Linked DNA regions of Lonchura striata. The protein of the gene in region 2 interacts with the protein of the main gene of each other region in a pairwise test. Links are inferred from orthologs where the notes say so. Each region holds a gene or a part of one and is shown on either strand. Other genes may lie near its edges.

Evidence for each region. The genes of interacting proteins can lie anywhere in the genome.
Region 1: the proteins of CTNNA3 (region 2) and JUP interact in binary tests that used the Homo sapiens proteins (3 or more experiments, as listed by UniProt). The link is inferred for Lonchura striata from reciprocal best matches to the Homo sapiens genes CTNNA3 and JUP.

Annotation. Positions count from the first base shown.
Region 1 is NC_134627.1:6,608,786-6,615,948, forward strand, and holds the start of JUP (junction plakoglobin), read left to right. Parts: upstream 1-4,111; 5' UTR 4,112-4,178; exon of another isoform or gene 4,179-4,254; intron 4,255-4,392; exon of another isoform or gene 4,393-4,498; intron 4,499-7,163. Other genes in the region: P3H4 (endoplasmic reticulum protein SC65), read left to right, coding at 88-233, 314-400, 575-716, 807-817. UniProt on the Homo sapiens protein: Common junctional plaque protein. The membrane-associated plaques are architectural elements in an important strategic position to influence the arrangement and function of both the cytoskeleton and the cells within the tissue.
Region 2 is NC_134609.1:35,368,579-35,376,637, forward strand, and holds the start of CTNNA3 (catenin alpha-3), read left to right. Parts: upstream 1-4,998; 5' UTR 4,999-5,111; coding exon 5,112-5,136; intron 5,137-8,059. UniProt on the Homo sapiens protein: May be involved in formation of stretch-resistant cell-cell adhesion complexes.

The DNA of each region.
Region 1 (7,163 bases), on a different chromosome or scaffold from region 2:
AGCGGGGGGCTGTGCCCTGGGGCACCCTGGGTTGCTGTGGCCCTGGGAGGGGTGTCACCCCCGTGTCAGCTGGCGCTGTCCCCGCAGTGAACGACGTGCAGGACGCGGTGCGCAGCGTCTCCAGCTACATGCTCTTCGACCCTGGCGACACCGTGATGCAGCAGAACCTGGTCTACTACCGCTTCCACCGCGAGCGCTGGCGCCTGCGCGAGGAGGACTTCGAGCCACGGCCGGTGAGGACCCCCCAGCCCCGTCCTGTGGCCCTGCACTGCCCAGAGAGGAGCTGACCCAGCCCCTCTGCCCCTGTGCCCAGGAAGCCGTGCGCTACCACAGCCAGACGGCCGCCCAGAAGGAGATGCTGGAATTCGCCCGGCAGTACCTGCAGGATGATGACGATGAGGTACCTGACACGGGATGCAGATGGTGCTTTTGGGGGGGCTGGGTGGTGTGTGTGGGTGCTGCAGGGACCTTTCGCAGATGGGGGGGGTCTGACCCCCCCAAAGCAGTCCTGGAGCAGAGACTGCAGATGAGGCTGCCGAGCTCCTCTGCCTCCTCCTGCCCTCCTGTGCTGCAGATGGAGGTGGATGGTGGTGAGGGGCCAGAGGTGCTGGACCTGCCCTCCGATGGCGAATTCGAGGGCGAAGGTGACTACGAGGAGGGCTTCTTCGCAGAGTGGTGGCAGGAACCCAAGACCAAAGGAGACAAAGATGACCAAGGTTCCTGATACAAAGGCTGGGAGTTGTGCTGTAGGGTCGGGGGGTCTGCTGCCCACACCCCTGGTGCCACCAAACTCTCCTTGTTTGCAGAGATCCTATGATGAGCCAGGTGAAGGGGGAGCCAGCAGCACCAACTGAGCTGGATGGTGGTGACTCTGTGATGCCATCTTGGGGACATCGGGCTTCAAGCTCCTCCCAGCCACCGGTAGAAACTCAAACTCATGGGGAGGGGCCAATCCTGCCTTGCATCCTGCGGCAGGACTGCTTTTGCCACCTGGATGTCTGCTGTCCTGGCACAGCCCAATTCCCATCAGTGGAACACCAGCATCCCTGAATGTCCCTGCCTGCCCAGGAGCCTGGGCTACCCCCACCCCCAATTCCGCAGGAGCCCTGACCAGCAGTGATGCCCCACAGCACTGGGGTTTTCTGTGTCCCTCAGCTGCTCCCCAGAATCTCTGGATGATGCACCAGAATTTATCCCTATCTTTTCTTGAGGGGCTTGAAGGGCTGCCCCTACTTCGGGAGCAATGCACAATGCTGCTGGAGCTGATCCTGCCCCTTCCTGAGGCTCCCTGAGGCTCCTGTTCTCCAGCCTCCCAGGCAATCTGACAGCTCCCATAGCCCAGGTCCCCTTGGACTCCCTGGCCTGGTGCTACAGGGGGCTCCCAGTGTGCCATGTCCCCGTGTCACCATGGGGCTGCAGCCTGGTGAGGCTGTGGTGCCCATGCCCTGCCTGTGCCTTGAATTTTTGCCACACCAGCCCTCTCTAGCCTTAAGCTCAATTAATTTAAGATTTTCCCTCCTGCACCGTTGCTCTTTTTATATATTTACTGGTGCTGAACTTTTAATAAAATCCAGACTGGTCTTTTCACGGCTGCCTCCACTTTCCATATGCTGCTGCCATGGGATCCAGGAGACCAGGGTAGGAGAGGCTCTGCTGTGAGAGAGGAAGAGATCGGTTCAGGCCTGGATGTCCCCAGAGATGACCTGGGGGAACTTGTGGGGCTGGGGGCCCATGGAGGCCATGACAGCAGCCAGGCTCCTGTGAGGCTCTGGGTCCCATGAGGGGGACCCCAAATGGGATCCATGACCCCCTCATTGAGTCTGTCAGGTGAGGTGGGGGGGGAGCTGCAGGGGGCTGGAGGGCAGCATGTCCTACCCCATATGGGTCTTTGGGATGTCATATCCATGAGCTGATGGTTGTTTTGGGGTACAACACTGTGACACTGCTCCTGGATCAGAGGGTGCAGCCTGGATCCCCCGATGAAGGTGGGCATGGCAGGGTGGGATGACTTCCTCCTGCCTGCATCAGGGTGTTTGGGGGCACACTGGGGGTCTCTGTTGGTGCTGACAAACCTGTGCCAGTCCTAGGCACGAGGCATCGGGCAGTGTGTGGCCGCTCACTCCTCCCTGCCGGGTTGCTCGGCGTGGAAATTGGCTACGAGGACTGAAACTGAGAGGCTGAATCACAGCGTTGGCCCCGGGGGAGGGAAGGGATGGGAATGGAAGGAAGAGAGTGGCAAGAGGCTGCCAGCACCCCACCCTGCCCTGCCCGGAGCCCCTGTTCACCGAGGCTTTTCCAGCTCTGCAGGGCACTGGGCGGGGGGCAGGGGCTGAGCCCCCAGACCCGTGAGCAAAGCTCAGGGCTCGGGGAGGCAGTGCTGGGAGGGAGCACCCACTGCACCCTGCACCTCACAGGGCTGTGCTGTCACTTGGGAGGAGCTGGGTTTGTCACCGATGGGGCACAGCCACCTCGGGAGGGGAGTGCCAGCCGGGTGGGGTGTGGCCAGCGGCACTCGCGAACGGAGGAGCGGAGAGCGCTCAGCCCAGGGCTGGCACCGCAGCCTAGGGGACAAAGGCTGCGGATCTTCCCAACAGCTGGGCGAGGGTGGCACTGGGCCCACGGGGCCTCCGCCCTGCTCTGACACACACCCGGGCACCCTCCCCAGCCCCACACTCACGAGGAGAAAACAGCTCCCTGCTCCCACTGATCTACTGGCACCGGGCAAAGCCCCTTGCAGCTGCGAGCTGGAGTGCCCGGGGTCCCTTCCCTGCTCCCACCTGAGCCGCTGGATGTGCAGGATGTGCTGGATGGCTGCATCCATCACCCCGGGAGTGCCAGGCAGGAGCAGCATCTCTGGCAGTGCCGCTGTGACCTGGCGTGGCTGTGACCGTGGGCACGGCCACCGTCCTGTCCTGCCGAGCTGCGGGCAGTGCCAGGGGCGCAGAGATGGGATGCGGGGTGACTGACGGGGGACACGGAGGAGTCCTGGGCTGCAGGAGAAGGGCTGCAGGGAGCGATGGGTTGGTTACTTGGTGAAGGCATCATCGCGGTCCCCTCGACCTTGACCAAGAGGGGAGCGTGGATGAGATGTCTGCTGCCGCCTCCCCTGCGCTGTGCCCTGCCGTGCCGTGCCGTGTGCCCATTTCCCTGTGCCGAGAGCTCTCTCGCTGCGCTCCGGATCTCCCGCTCAGCGCACAGCCATGAATTCCCTTCTTCTTGCAGAGGCGGTGGAAGCTCTGTCTCTCACCTTCCTCCGGAGCTGAGAATCCCCGCCTGGCAGCGCTCGCTGCCAGACGTAGCAGGGAACCGTGCAGGCAGCGGGGGTGCACGATGCTCCCTCCTCATCCTCACCGGGGCAGAATCCTCCTGCTCCCCCACACCTGGGGGTCCTGAGCTGGGCTGGGACGTGTCCAATGGATGACTCGGGCACTGGGTGACGGCGGCTTAGCCCGGGACGCGGCAGCAGCACCCGGCTGGACCGGTCCGGCGGGGACCGGGCTGACGCGGCGCCAGCAGCCCCGAGCCCTTCCCGAACGCCGCTTCCTGTCGCCCCCGCGCTCCTGCCTCGAGGGGTCCCCGCACGGCCCCGGGGTATCCGCACAGCCCGGGGGTCCCAGCATGGGCCGGGGTTCCCCGCGCGCCTCGGGGGTCCCCGCACAGCCCGGGGGTCCCAGTATGGGCCGGGGGTCGCCGCGCGGCCCGGGGGTCCCCGCACGGCTCGGGGGTCTCCGCACGGCTCGGGGGTTCCCGCACGGCTCGGGGGTTCCCAGCACGGCCCGGGGGTCCCAGCACGGGCCGGGGGTCCCCGCAGGATCCGGGGATCCCAGCACGGCCCGGGGGTCCCCGCGCCCCCGGCCCTCAGGGGCGGGTCCCGGCCCCACCTGGCCGCGCCCACTGACGTCACCCAGGTGGTCCCCTCGTGGTCTCGCCCCGCCCACCCCGCCCCGCTGTCCAATCAGCTGCGGGCAGGGGGCGGGGCGTCCGCGCCCCCGCCAATGGGGAAAGAATAAACACGTCCGGCGGGGGCGGGGCCCGGCGGGCCCAGTGCTTGATGGGCGTGCGGAGCATCCAATGGCGGAGGGGCGGCGCGGGGGCGGGGCCTGCGGCGGGCGGGGCGGCGCGCGGGGCGCCGCTCGCCTTTTGTTCGGGCAGGAGCGGGCGGGCGGCGGAGAGCGACGGTGAGCGGGGCCGGGGCACCGGGCACGGGCGGGGAGGGACGGTGAGTGGGGCCGAGGCATCGCGCACGGAAGGACGGTGAGTGGGACCGGGGCGCCGGGCACGGGCAGCGGCGGTGAGCGGGACTGGCGCGTCGGGCACGGGGAGCGACGGTGAGCGGGGCGGGGCACTGGGCATGGGGAGCGACGGTGAGTGGAGCCGAGTCAGGGCGCGTCGGGCGTGGGGGAGCGGCGGTGACCGGCAATAGGCCGGCTGAACCGGGCAGAGGTCACTCCGGGTCCGCAGGACCGGGCTGGCGGAGGTCGCGGCGGGGAGCGGTCCGGTGAGCAGAGTTGGGGCGGCCGGGACGGCGCCAGGTCCGCGGCCGTCCGTCGCCGTCCGTCGTTCCGGGCTGGGCTGCACCGGAGCGGCGGGGACTCCGCCGTGCGGCGCTGGGGAGCGGCCGCTCTCGGGGCGGGGAGGAGTTGGGTCCGGGCCGGGCAGCACCGGGCGTCCCGGCTCGGCCCCGCTGCCGTCGTCTGGGGCAGAGCTGGCCGTGTGCTGCCCGTGAGCTCGGCCGGTCCTGCGCGGCACCGGCAGGGCGGGTCCCCGGGGCTTCCCCCATGCCCAGCTGGGCTGTCCCGGCCCCTTCCCGGTGCCGCGGGATCCAGTTTGGGAGTCGCGGATCCGCGCTCCTGTGCGAGGCGGTGACTCTGTCCCCGGCCCCGCCCGGAGCTGCCGCGGAGCGGGCGAGGCCCTGGCACGGCGCTCGCCCGGTGCTGTGGGGCTCTTACGCAAACTGGACTGCTCCGTGCCCAGAGTCACACCTGGGGACACCGCGTGCTGCTCTCGAGGCCGCCTCGGATCGCTTCGACATCGCCGTCCCTACCCGCGGGGCCGGGGCTGCCCTCCGCCCGCCACCTGGCGTGGGATGTCTGGGGGCTGAGAGGGATGCGGGTGACCTGACATCACCCAAGACAGCCCCCCGCGGGTGAGGGGTGCTGGGCACAGGGCTCACAGGGCGTCAGGGTGACCTGACATCACCCAAGACAGCCCCCCGCGGGTGAGGGGTGCTGGGCACAGGGCTCACGGGGGTCCCAGCTGAGCTCCTGCCAGGGACATCCGCACCGCGAAACGGCGGGGGGAGTGAAACTTGGCTGTTTGTCTGATGTTTAGAGAGGAGAGAGCGCTCTAATTGCGTTAGCTGAGTGATTAGCATTAGCTTAATTAATCAGGTTTATAGCACAGATGAAAGGATAATGCTGAAATGTTGCTGGGAGTTGCCCGGAGAAGGCAAACGTGGGCTGCCATATGAGCAACGTGGGGCGATGTATGCCGGGAGAGGAGCGTGAACGCTCAGGAGGGCACGGCTGCTGCTGGAGACGGGACAGGGTGACCTGTGCCACTGTTGTGCCTGCCCGAGTGTGAGGGCATCAGCCTTCACCCTCTCCAGCCAGGCTGGAAGTTCCTGCACCCCCAGCTTCCCTGTAACGCTGTTGGGGTGCCTGGGTGAGTCCTGTGTCTGGTTTCACGTTCTCTTGTCAACTTCCCCATCCCAGAAGGGTGGTGGGGGCTGGGGACACCCTGTGACACAGCCCCTCAGTCGCTTCACCTCCTGCTCCAGCCCACGTCGTGCTGGTTTTGGCGCTGGTGCCAGCCCCGAGCGGCTCTGGTGTCCGTCTGGATGCGCTGGTGGGGAGCCGGGGGCGCAGCGTGTCCCTGCCAGCTGCCGCGGGGATGGGGCTGCAGCGCTGCCGGGGGCGTTTGCTCCGGGCTCTCAGCCGCATCCAGGGCAGGTGCAGTGTCCGCGGGGGCTGCTCCAGGCTCCGCTCCCGGAGTGTCCGGCCCAGCCGGAAACAGGGATGAGAAAATTATAGGGGTCCATTTCTGTGTCCTTGTCGGTGTCGGAGCTGGCTGGAAGGGTGCAGGGCACCCACTGGGACTGCGTTTGCACATCTGAAGCCTGTTATCGCTCATTGTTTTGGAGGATTTCCATGAGGTGTCATGAAAAACCCATTTTTTACTGCTAATTTGGCTTAAACAAGTTGGCCATCAGGACGGGGACGCACAGGGCTCCTGGCAGCGGTGGCTGAGGATTGTGCTCCCTCCTTGCACTGTGGCCGCTGTGCGGGAGCAGGGACAGACGTGGGTCCCCGGGGCTCAGGGCGCTGGGGAAAGGTGGGGCGGCCGTGCGGGGCCCTCCCTCAGACAATGGCGTTACAGCCTATTGTCTGGGCGGTGTGCCGTGTCCTTGCCGGCTCCAGGAAGCGCGTTCATCCCCGGGAGGGGGTGGGGGGGACGAGCTGGGCTGCTGGGAGGGGTCTCCTGGGGCTGGGTGTGCGAGTAGTTTGTGCCACCGTGCCTGGAGCCTCCGGGGCAGCGCGGGTGAGTCGTGGCCGGGCTGCAGCCGGGGGCCGTGGGGGATGTCCCCGCTGCTCCTGGTGCCGCATTTCAGTGTATCATTCGGCGCTGCCCTAATCCCATTAACTCACCCCTTTGTTTTCCCCCACCTGAAACCCTTACTCAGCCCTCGCGGCCGGGCAGGCGCTGCGGTACAGCTGCACGGCTCCTGCAGCTCAGCCCGTTCCCGGGAGGACGGCTTCCCTTCAAGACTGTGGTTTGCTGTGGGAGCGCTTGATGGGATTTGGCTTTTTATCACACTTCCAGATCTCCGGGATTTCAGACGGCGCTTTTGCCGGGCGCGCTGCCGCTCGCAGATGGCAGAGCCTGGGAGCGAAGCTGCCCTTGGCCCCGCTCCGCAGGCTGGGGGAGCAGAGCCTCTGCACAGAGAACTTGCAGAACTTTAATTGCAGCATCTGTACCGACGCTTGTGCTGGTTTTGAAGGTTTAAATTATACTGGCTTCTAATTAACAGAAGTTAAAAAGAAATGTAGTGTCTGTTACAGCAGTACAAGTCTACCTCTGAGTTCAGGTGCTGCTTCCCCACCTAGACAGGGTGTGTGGGCACCCAGCATCACCCAGGGCTGGGGTGGGTGGTCAGACTTAGT
Region 2 (8,059 bases):
GTACTCTAATTTGCTGTGTTAGCAGATTAGCAAAACTTAACTCATATCCATTTTTTAAATGGCCGCTTTGGTGGAAAATCTTACAAATGAGGGATTATCAATCTGGAAGTGTGTTTTGAATGTTTTGTGAAGGTGAATGAGGGAGATGTGCATTGCATCTATATTTGAGTGTGGATTTACAGCAGTGGCTTTTGCTTTCCTTCTTCCCCTTTCCCTTCTCGTGTTCAGCCTGAATGGCTTTGCCATTGCCTTCCCTGGTGTCCGATTTGGGTTCCTGTGTCAAACCTGGCTTGCAAGGCTAGGCATGAGCTTGGGTGGCTCTAAGGGGTATTTTCAGTAGCAAGCTGCCACTGAGCTCGGCGCTACTGCTTTGGGAGGAGTCCCAGTGGAGTGCTGCCCTCACATTTTGTTTCTTACAGCTGGGTCTGACTGGCACATTCGCAGCCTCGCTGCCCCTGGAGTCCAGCTGCCTCAGGTGGAGTTCTTCACAGAGCCATTCCTAGGAGCTCCTTTCCTTGGAGTCTTGATTCAAAAGGTAAGATTGGAGAAGAATGTAGGCAATTTTCCTCTTAGTGGTGGAAGTACATGAAGCTATAAATGGAACTGTTGCTGCTTGATAAAACAATCACTCCAAAAGTTTAAAAAAGTTAAAACGCTGGCTTTCTTAGCCAGCTTTCCAAAAAAAAAAAAAAAAAAAAAGAACTTTTAAACATGATTAAAAAAATCTGAATATTAAAAAAAATCCTGAATATTCTAAATATTTTAATTGTCATGGTCTTATCACTTCAGGCTAGTAGCTGAAGTTCTGCAGTGTGTTTGCATATTTTCCAGATATGAGAAGCCACTTTGGAATATTGGAAAAGGAAGAATAAGATGTTGTATGGATGCTATTAGTTTAAAAAATTTAGTTTACCTCCTGATACTTTGCTGGAAGTTGCACTTAATTGAAGGAAGGTTTGTGTAAATGTATGTTTATCGCACCTCAGTGTGAAAATAATAAGTTACTGCACAATTTAATGTAATTTTAAAAAAATTCCAAAATATTACAAAAAATATTATAAGAGAGGGCTACAGGAGGGCTGTTACATTCAGTGTAACATTGTGCATATTTCAAGACCCTTATGTGTGCACCTTTCTGTTAGGTTCAGACCTAGTGAAGCCCCAGAGATACCCAACAACAAAGAATTAGGCTATGTGACAGGCATTTAGGAGGAAACCATAATGAATTCTTACTGTTTTCTCCTACTTTGATCAGTGTTGGGAAATTAATTCACCTTGGAACAAAGTTTGGTTTTTTTTTTTCTCTTTATGGCTGCTCTTCAGCCAGATGGTTTTGAGTTGAACTGTGGGCAGAGGTCAGAATGGGCTGGAACGTCCTTAGGCTTTATTTCTGAAGCTGTTTCACCAGAAGTGCTTTAACAGCTTTGTAGGGGTTTTCTGCTGAGCCCTGGTGTGATTTGAAACCAGTTGGAAGAATTGATAAAGGAAATAGGGTGCTGTGCAGCAATGGGAACCCCACTGGAAGAGTAAATCTGCATATTGAGGTCTGTCCATGTTTGCAGGCATGGTGTGGAGGGATTGTGGCTTTACTTAAGTACTATTTTCTGTCCCTTTTCATTAGATTGTGCTGTTGTATGTGCTAAGGAAGCTGCTTGCCAGCATTCAAAGTGAGGCACTTTCTAAGAGTCATTTCTCTCTTATTTTCATGCATATCTCAGAGTCAATATGTTTTATATATATAAGTGTCAGTCACCGTCACCATTGCTACTCTTAATTTTGGGGTTGTTTTGAGCGTGTCTGTAAGCAGTGGGGAAGAAGAAAACTTCTAGAATGCTAAAACACTATTTAGATCACTGGACAAAACAATTAATGCAGACCCTCAATGAAATGGTATGTGATGGTGAAGCATCCTGGGGTAGGCCATGGGTAGGAAACAGCCAAATCTGTTGGCAAAATCAGAAGCAGCTCTACAAAGAGAAGAAACCCTGGTTTTTTACCTCTTTGCAGTTGAGAGTTGAGACACATATTTAAAACGAAACAGCAGAGTGTAATGCTGTAATAGATAACTGTCAGCAAATAGCAATAAGGGGAAATGGGGAGCTGTATTTAAAGTAAATAAAATTTGAAACCTTTTAGTAGCACCTCATGGAATTTCTATTATTGTCTATTATTTTAATGAGTTGAACAACATCCTATTTTTAGTGGAAGGTCAACTTGAACTTTATTTGAACGGGGTCTCTGGTTCTGAACACAGATAGGAGCACGTTAAATGTGATAACAAAAGAGAAGGCTTGGAGCCAGACCTCCTTAACCTATCGTTAGGGGCTCAGATAGCCATCCATGTAAGAACTGTGTGCCACTTAAATGGAGAGCAGTCCTTGTTCTGGGCTCAAACTGCACGCAGTGAAAATAGCACTGAGACTCATGTGGAAGGATTTTGGGGTTTCATTTAAGAATTTAAAATAGATCCAAAAAATAGTAATGATTATTTTAAAAAATGAAATGCTGCCATCTGATGTCACACCACTTTTTTGTGTGTTATTTTTTTTTTTTTTAAAGTAAGTGCTTTTTCAGTTTCTTAAATATTAGAACTCTAGTTTTCAGATGAAAAACTGCGGTACCTGCCAAAATGTACATGGAAGAAATGTTACAAACATTAAAGTATATCTAGCCTAAGCAGTATTATTTTAATTCTGCTGTCACTCACAGTTGTGCATATCCAGTAGAACTCCACTGTTGAGTGAAATTATTTTATTTTTCTGGTAGTGAGATACTGTCAGGTTCCCAAGTTTCCATGTTATACTTCACTGGGAAGATGTTTCTTGCAGTGGCTGTAGGTTTAAGGCAGTAGCACATTTTTTGGATAGCTGTTGTTTGAGAAGCAGTCCTGAGTGCCAGTACAAAGCCAAAGGCTGTGGAACTGCTCAGGCTGTAGGATTCACACTTCTGCTGGAACATCTCCTGGAATTAGTTGGTGTTGCAGCTGGCTGAAGTGTGTGCATTCACCAGTGGAGGGGTTCTGATAGGATGTTTAAGGCAGATGGTTTCTGGCCTTACTAGGATGAGCAATACTAATATCAGGGTAACCTGAACATAGGAGTAAGAATAGAGATGATGTTCTATAGAGTTATGGTGTGAATTGTTTCTGAAAGTGTTTTACTCTCCTCAGCCTGCTTTTTGGCCTTGATTAAAGAAAGTGTGGGTAAGGTACTTCAGTGTTGTTATGGTTTTATTCCAGTACTCTGCCACTGGCATTCTCTCTCATCTTGAGTAAATAATTTTTCCTCTGTGATTCTGTTTCCTTCTGTGATACTGGAACACAACCTCTGCTTGAAACAGTGCTTGAAATAGAAAGCACTGTAGGAAAAGAAAACATGAGTACTAAACAAGGAAAAGAGAGCTCGTTCTGAGTGTTATAAATCTGGGAAAAAATCTGAAATTTTTATCTCACTAGCTATAAGAAAGTTTTCACGAGACAAGTTTGTTGAGGTGCAATGCTTTATCCCACCTCAAAAGTTTTTGGTTTTTTTTTTCATAAACCTTAATTAAACCTTTTAATGTCACTACTAGGTCAGTCATGAACCATTGCTTGCCATGGGGATTCTCCAACACCCATAAAGAACTAGGCTTACACTGTTTTCTTGGTAGATTGATTGTAAGGTATGATATATCACATTATTTATGTTGAGAACTGTGTTGAAGAACTTGGTGGAAGTCTTATATTCTTGTGAATTTTAACTGCTCATCAGATGTGGATTGAAAAAGTGCTCTTGGGAGATGGTAAACACAGGCAGAATTGAAAGGAAATACGAAAAAAAAGTGCTATGTTTTTTTGGTTTTAATTTTTGGGGCTGCGATTAAAAAAAATCTTCCAGTTACTTCATTGCTAGCCTACACCTAAATGCAAAGCCTGTTTAAATAAAGTAGCTTTATGTGAATTAATGTTATTAATGGGTCTGAATCTTGCCACCGTCTCCTGCTCTACTTGTGGTGTCTGTGCATTAATAGACACGTGTCTTGTTGCTAGTGGTAAGAAATGATGAATTCTGAGATGGTTATAGAGCAGCCTGACAGCTTTGTTTGGAAATTTAAGTAATTTACCAGGTGCTTTATAGACTTTACCTGGTGTTAAATGGGCCAGGTCCTTTGGAATACTGCTCCATTCCAGAGCATGGTCTGGCCTACAGAGTACAAGTACTCTGCAGTAAAACAGTGTGCACTTTTCTTTGCCTGAACTACAAGCTTTTAGCATCCTGAATGTCTTATTTCATGTGTCAGCTAGCATTAAAGCAAAATGTGGTAATTGTTTTTTGTGGCTTTATGAAGTCTGATTTGCACTCTCTGTACTGACTGTAGCAAAAAGGCTAACAAGTTATATTATCAGAGTGCTGTTGGTAACAATTAATGAAGCTGTAGAGGAAATACTGAAATTAAGAACAAATAGTAAAAAAAATCTGTTATGTATTCTCAGAAATGTTTCGTATCTTGGAAATCCTCAGGTGCCCTGTCCATATGTATCTTGGTAAAAAATACAGATCCTGACTACTTTGTTTAAACATTTCTTCATTTTTTAGAAGGCAATAGGCCTTTGCATTTTCTGAAACTGCTAGGATAATATATTGTGTGTCATTGCAGGGTACCATACAATAGTAAAAAAACAACAGAGAAAACAATTTTGGTGCCAAGTTCTGTGCAAGAGCTTTATGAATCCCTTTGCTGTCCAGCTCAGGAGTCTGAGAGTGAGTCACTGCCTCCAGACTGAAGTTGGCATACAGTCAGAATGTATGGCAAAACAGTTGCTGTGCTGGAAATTACAAGAATTATCACAGGAAGTATAAGTAATTTAATGCTTCGTGTCCTCTAATTGTTCAAAACCTTCTCAGCTCTAAACTTTTTTGCCGTGCTTATGCTCTCCAATACAGCTTTAAGGATGCCCATCCCCCTGCCAGCCCTCCAGCCGCCGCTGTGTGCTGTCAGTCATCCTGAAATACACTGGGAGCTTGTCAGGCTGTCCCTTGCAGATGCCTCAGGAGCCCCATAGCGAGCCAGGGCAGTTGCACTGAAGTTCCTAACCCAAGGAAATTTCATAGGCACTTGCTTTAGTGCTGCATATGGACCATATGTTTTCTAGCATAGGTGAGTGACGCTGTTGGCTTTCTAACAATCTGGCAGGAGATGGATTCTAAAGTAAAGGTTTTCTAATTTATGCAGAATGTCTTTGGCTCTGCTTTCTGACACTTATTAGTTAATGTCTGTATACAGTGTACTTACAGATTCTAAAAAAAAAGCTGCAGGTGCTACGTTCACGTTGCATTGCAGATGGATATAGGCTTCGGCTGGTTTTCCAGTGTCTTTTTCTTATTACACCAAAAGACTCAATAGTTTTGTATTATCTTGAGGTGGGGAGCATTTGGTAGGAGTGTGCAGATGGTTGGTTTTCTGGCTGTTCTGGGACACAGCTATATCTTGTAACACATGCTTAACATCCTAAGTGTTGTAAGAGCTGCTGGTGTACAGGGCTGAGATTGCCTTCTGTAAAGGTTAATCTAACTGAGTGTGAGGTTATACAGCCTTTTACCAAAACATCTCGCAGTTAGGGCCCCTGCTGTAGTTAGGGGGATGTTATACTGGAGTAGACAAATACAGTTAAAAAAAAAAAAAAGGAAGGTGGAATGTTGATTTTAATATTTTTCCTGAGGCAAACATCAGATTTGTCATCTTAATGAATATGATGCGGAAGGACAGAAGTTCAGTTAGTAAGTGGAAATGCCAGAGAAAATCCCAGGATGATCTTTACTGACTGTATTTTCTTCCTATCGCCTCTTATCCTTGCCTTAATTAAAAAGAAATAACTAAAGAGTCCAATTTAAATATTGATTTAGCCAGTATGGTATATAACAATAAAGAGAGCCTGGTAAGCTAAAAATATGCAGTCAGATTATCAAAATGATTTAAGATCTTGTGGTTTTTGCTGCATTGGCTTGCAAAACTGTTTCCATCTTTTTAGAAACAAAAGGAGGTTTCAGGAAGCATTAGAATTTTACTTAAAAAATATTGCTGGAATCAGCAAGTGAACCCTTAAGTGAGCTATTTATAGCTTAAAATATAATTGAAATTTTCAGAGACAATAGTTTTTGCAATTGACTTTCAGTTGATGACTCGTTATGGCCTGACTCAAGGCTAAAAGCTATTATTGCCTTAACTGGCTTTTGAACTCAGGGCTCAAGCAAAGAATAAAAATGCTGATGTTAGACAGTATGCTAAGGGTAAGAAACAAACAAACAAGCAAAAGCCACAGAACAACCCAGAATAGGGAAAGTCATGACACATGGATTCACATTTTTTCTGACCTGCAAAAATGGGGTTGGATTTGTAATACTTTCCAAGTTTGAGAGTGCTCCAATCTGTGGTGGGATTCTGGAGCACGGTGGTCCTATAGTAACAGGAATTTATTACTTTTAATTTAATTACAACGACATATTTATCTGCTAAAATTTAGAAAAAGATCTGATGATTGCAGATAGCATGTAGCAGAGGAGATTGTGCTGTGAGAATGGAGAGCAAGCAGCAAAAAGGCTTAATTTCTCCATTTTGAGTAAAGCAGGTGCTGAGGCCCTTTATCAAGGAATTTATCAAGGTTTAAAGCGTAAGTGTATCTGCAGAAAAACAACCCGATTCACCTCGTGGTTTCTTTAGGGCTCAGCAGGAGCATGAAGTACAGTTCCCATCCCGTTTACCTGTCCCCTTGTAACTGATGTATGTCTGACCAGAAAAAAATGCACAGCACAGTCAATACCATCTGTTTGCGACTGTTATGATGGATTTCAAGAAGTGCCCATAGTTTGGGAGACTTGTGAAAATATCAAAGATAAGGGTTGGTACCCAGCACCATCATAAAGATTTATTATTTTTCCTAGTGTGAATAAAAAGCAGATTCATTGAAATATTGGCCAGAGATTTAGAAAACCAGTGAATTACAGGTGGCAGAAAAGGATCTGTCTTTTCCAGCGTGTGTAATGATGCGGTTTGACGCAATCCCAGTGAAACTGGGGGACAGTATCTTGTTGAATTTAAATGCTTTTTGAAGGAGGGGTGAACACAAGGAAAGGGCTCAGGAGCTGCTGTGCCGTGTGTTCAGAGGCCTCCCCTGGGGACCTGGAGCTCGCTGCAAGTGCAGGGATGACAGACATTAGTGGCGTTCAAAGCTACTTGTTAGTATCGGACAGAAAGATTTAGGGGTCTCAGAGTTTGTTTCCTTGGTGTTTCTTGAAAGTATCTAAATGTTAAATATGTAAAATATGGGCAGATAATTTGCTTTGACATTTCCAGAGTTCTCTTTCCATTCATATCTGTGGAAGGAAAAGTGTTTTTTTCTGGTCGGTCTGATCTCAGGTTTCTTTGTCTTTTGGCTCAGAATTAAAACTGAAAAATCAGTTCTTTCCAAATGCTACCTCCTGGCTGGATGCAGCTGAATTTTTTTGGAACTTAGCTCTGCCATTAGTATAGTTTGTAGTTAAAGATAAACTTGGCGCTTGGGTAACCTTTAATAAGAATGGCAAAACCCTAAATTGCTTTATACCTTAATTCTTTTATTGCTCATATTATCTTTGCTTGTAAGTGAAATGTGAATAACCCTCCAGATTAATATCTACACCCCTTGCTATAGGAACCCTAAACCTACTGTGTTTTATTAAATCAGTGCCAGGTTCACTGGAAGGTGACACTATATCTCTTCAGCCTGCACAATTGCAGTACCGAATTACTACATTGTACAGCAGCAGTGGTTGTAATGAGTTTTGCTTAAAAAGGACAGATAACCGTTATTTGTGTATTTGAAGTCATTATTGGCTAAAAAGGCTTTGCCAAGCTGTATTTTATAAGAAGGTAAGGTACTGTGAAATTTAAAGTGTCTTTTATTTTGGGACAATAATCGGTTGCAATCCAGCTAAAGCAGTTATAATTCTTTGTTGACACACACACACATTTCAGGCTAATGGCCTGAGTCATGGCCCAGTGAACTTGGTAAAAACTATTAATTCACATCAGTAGATTCTGCATC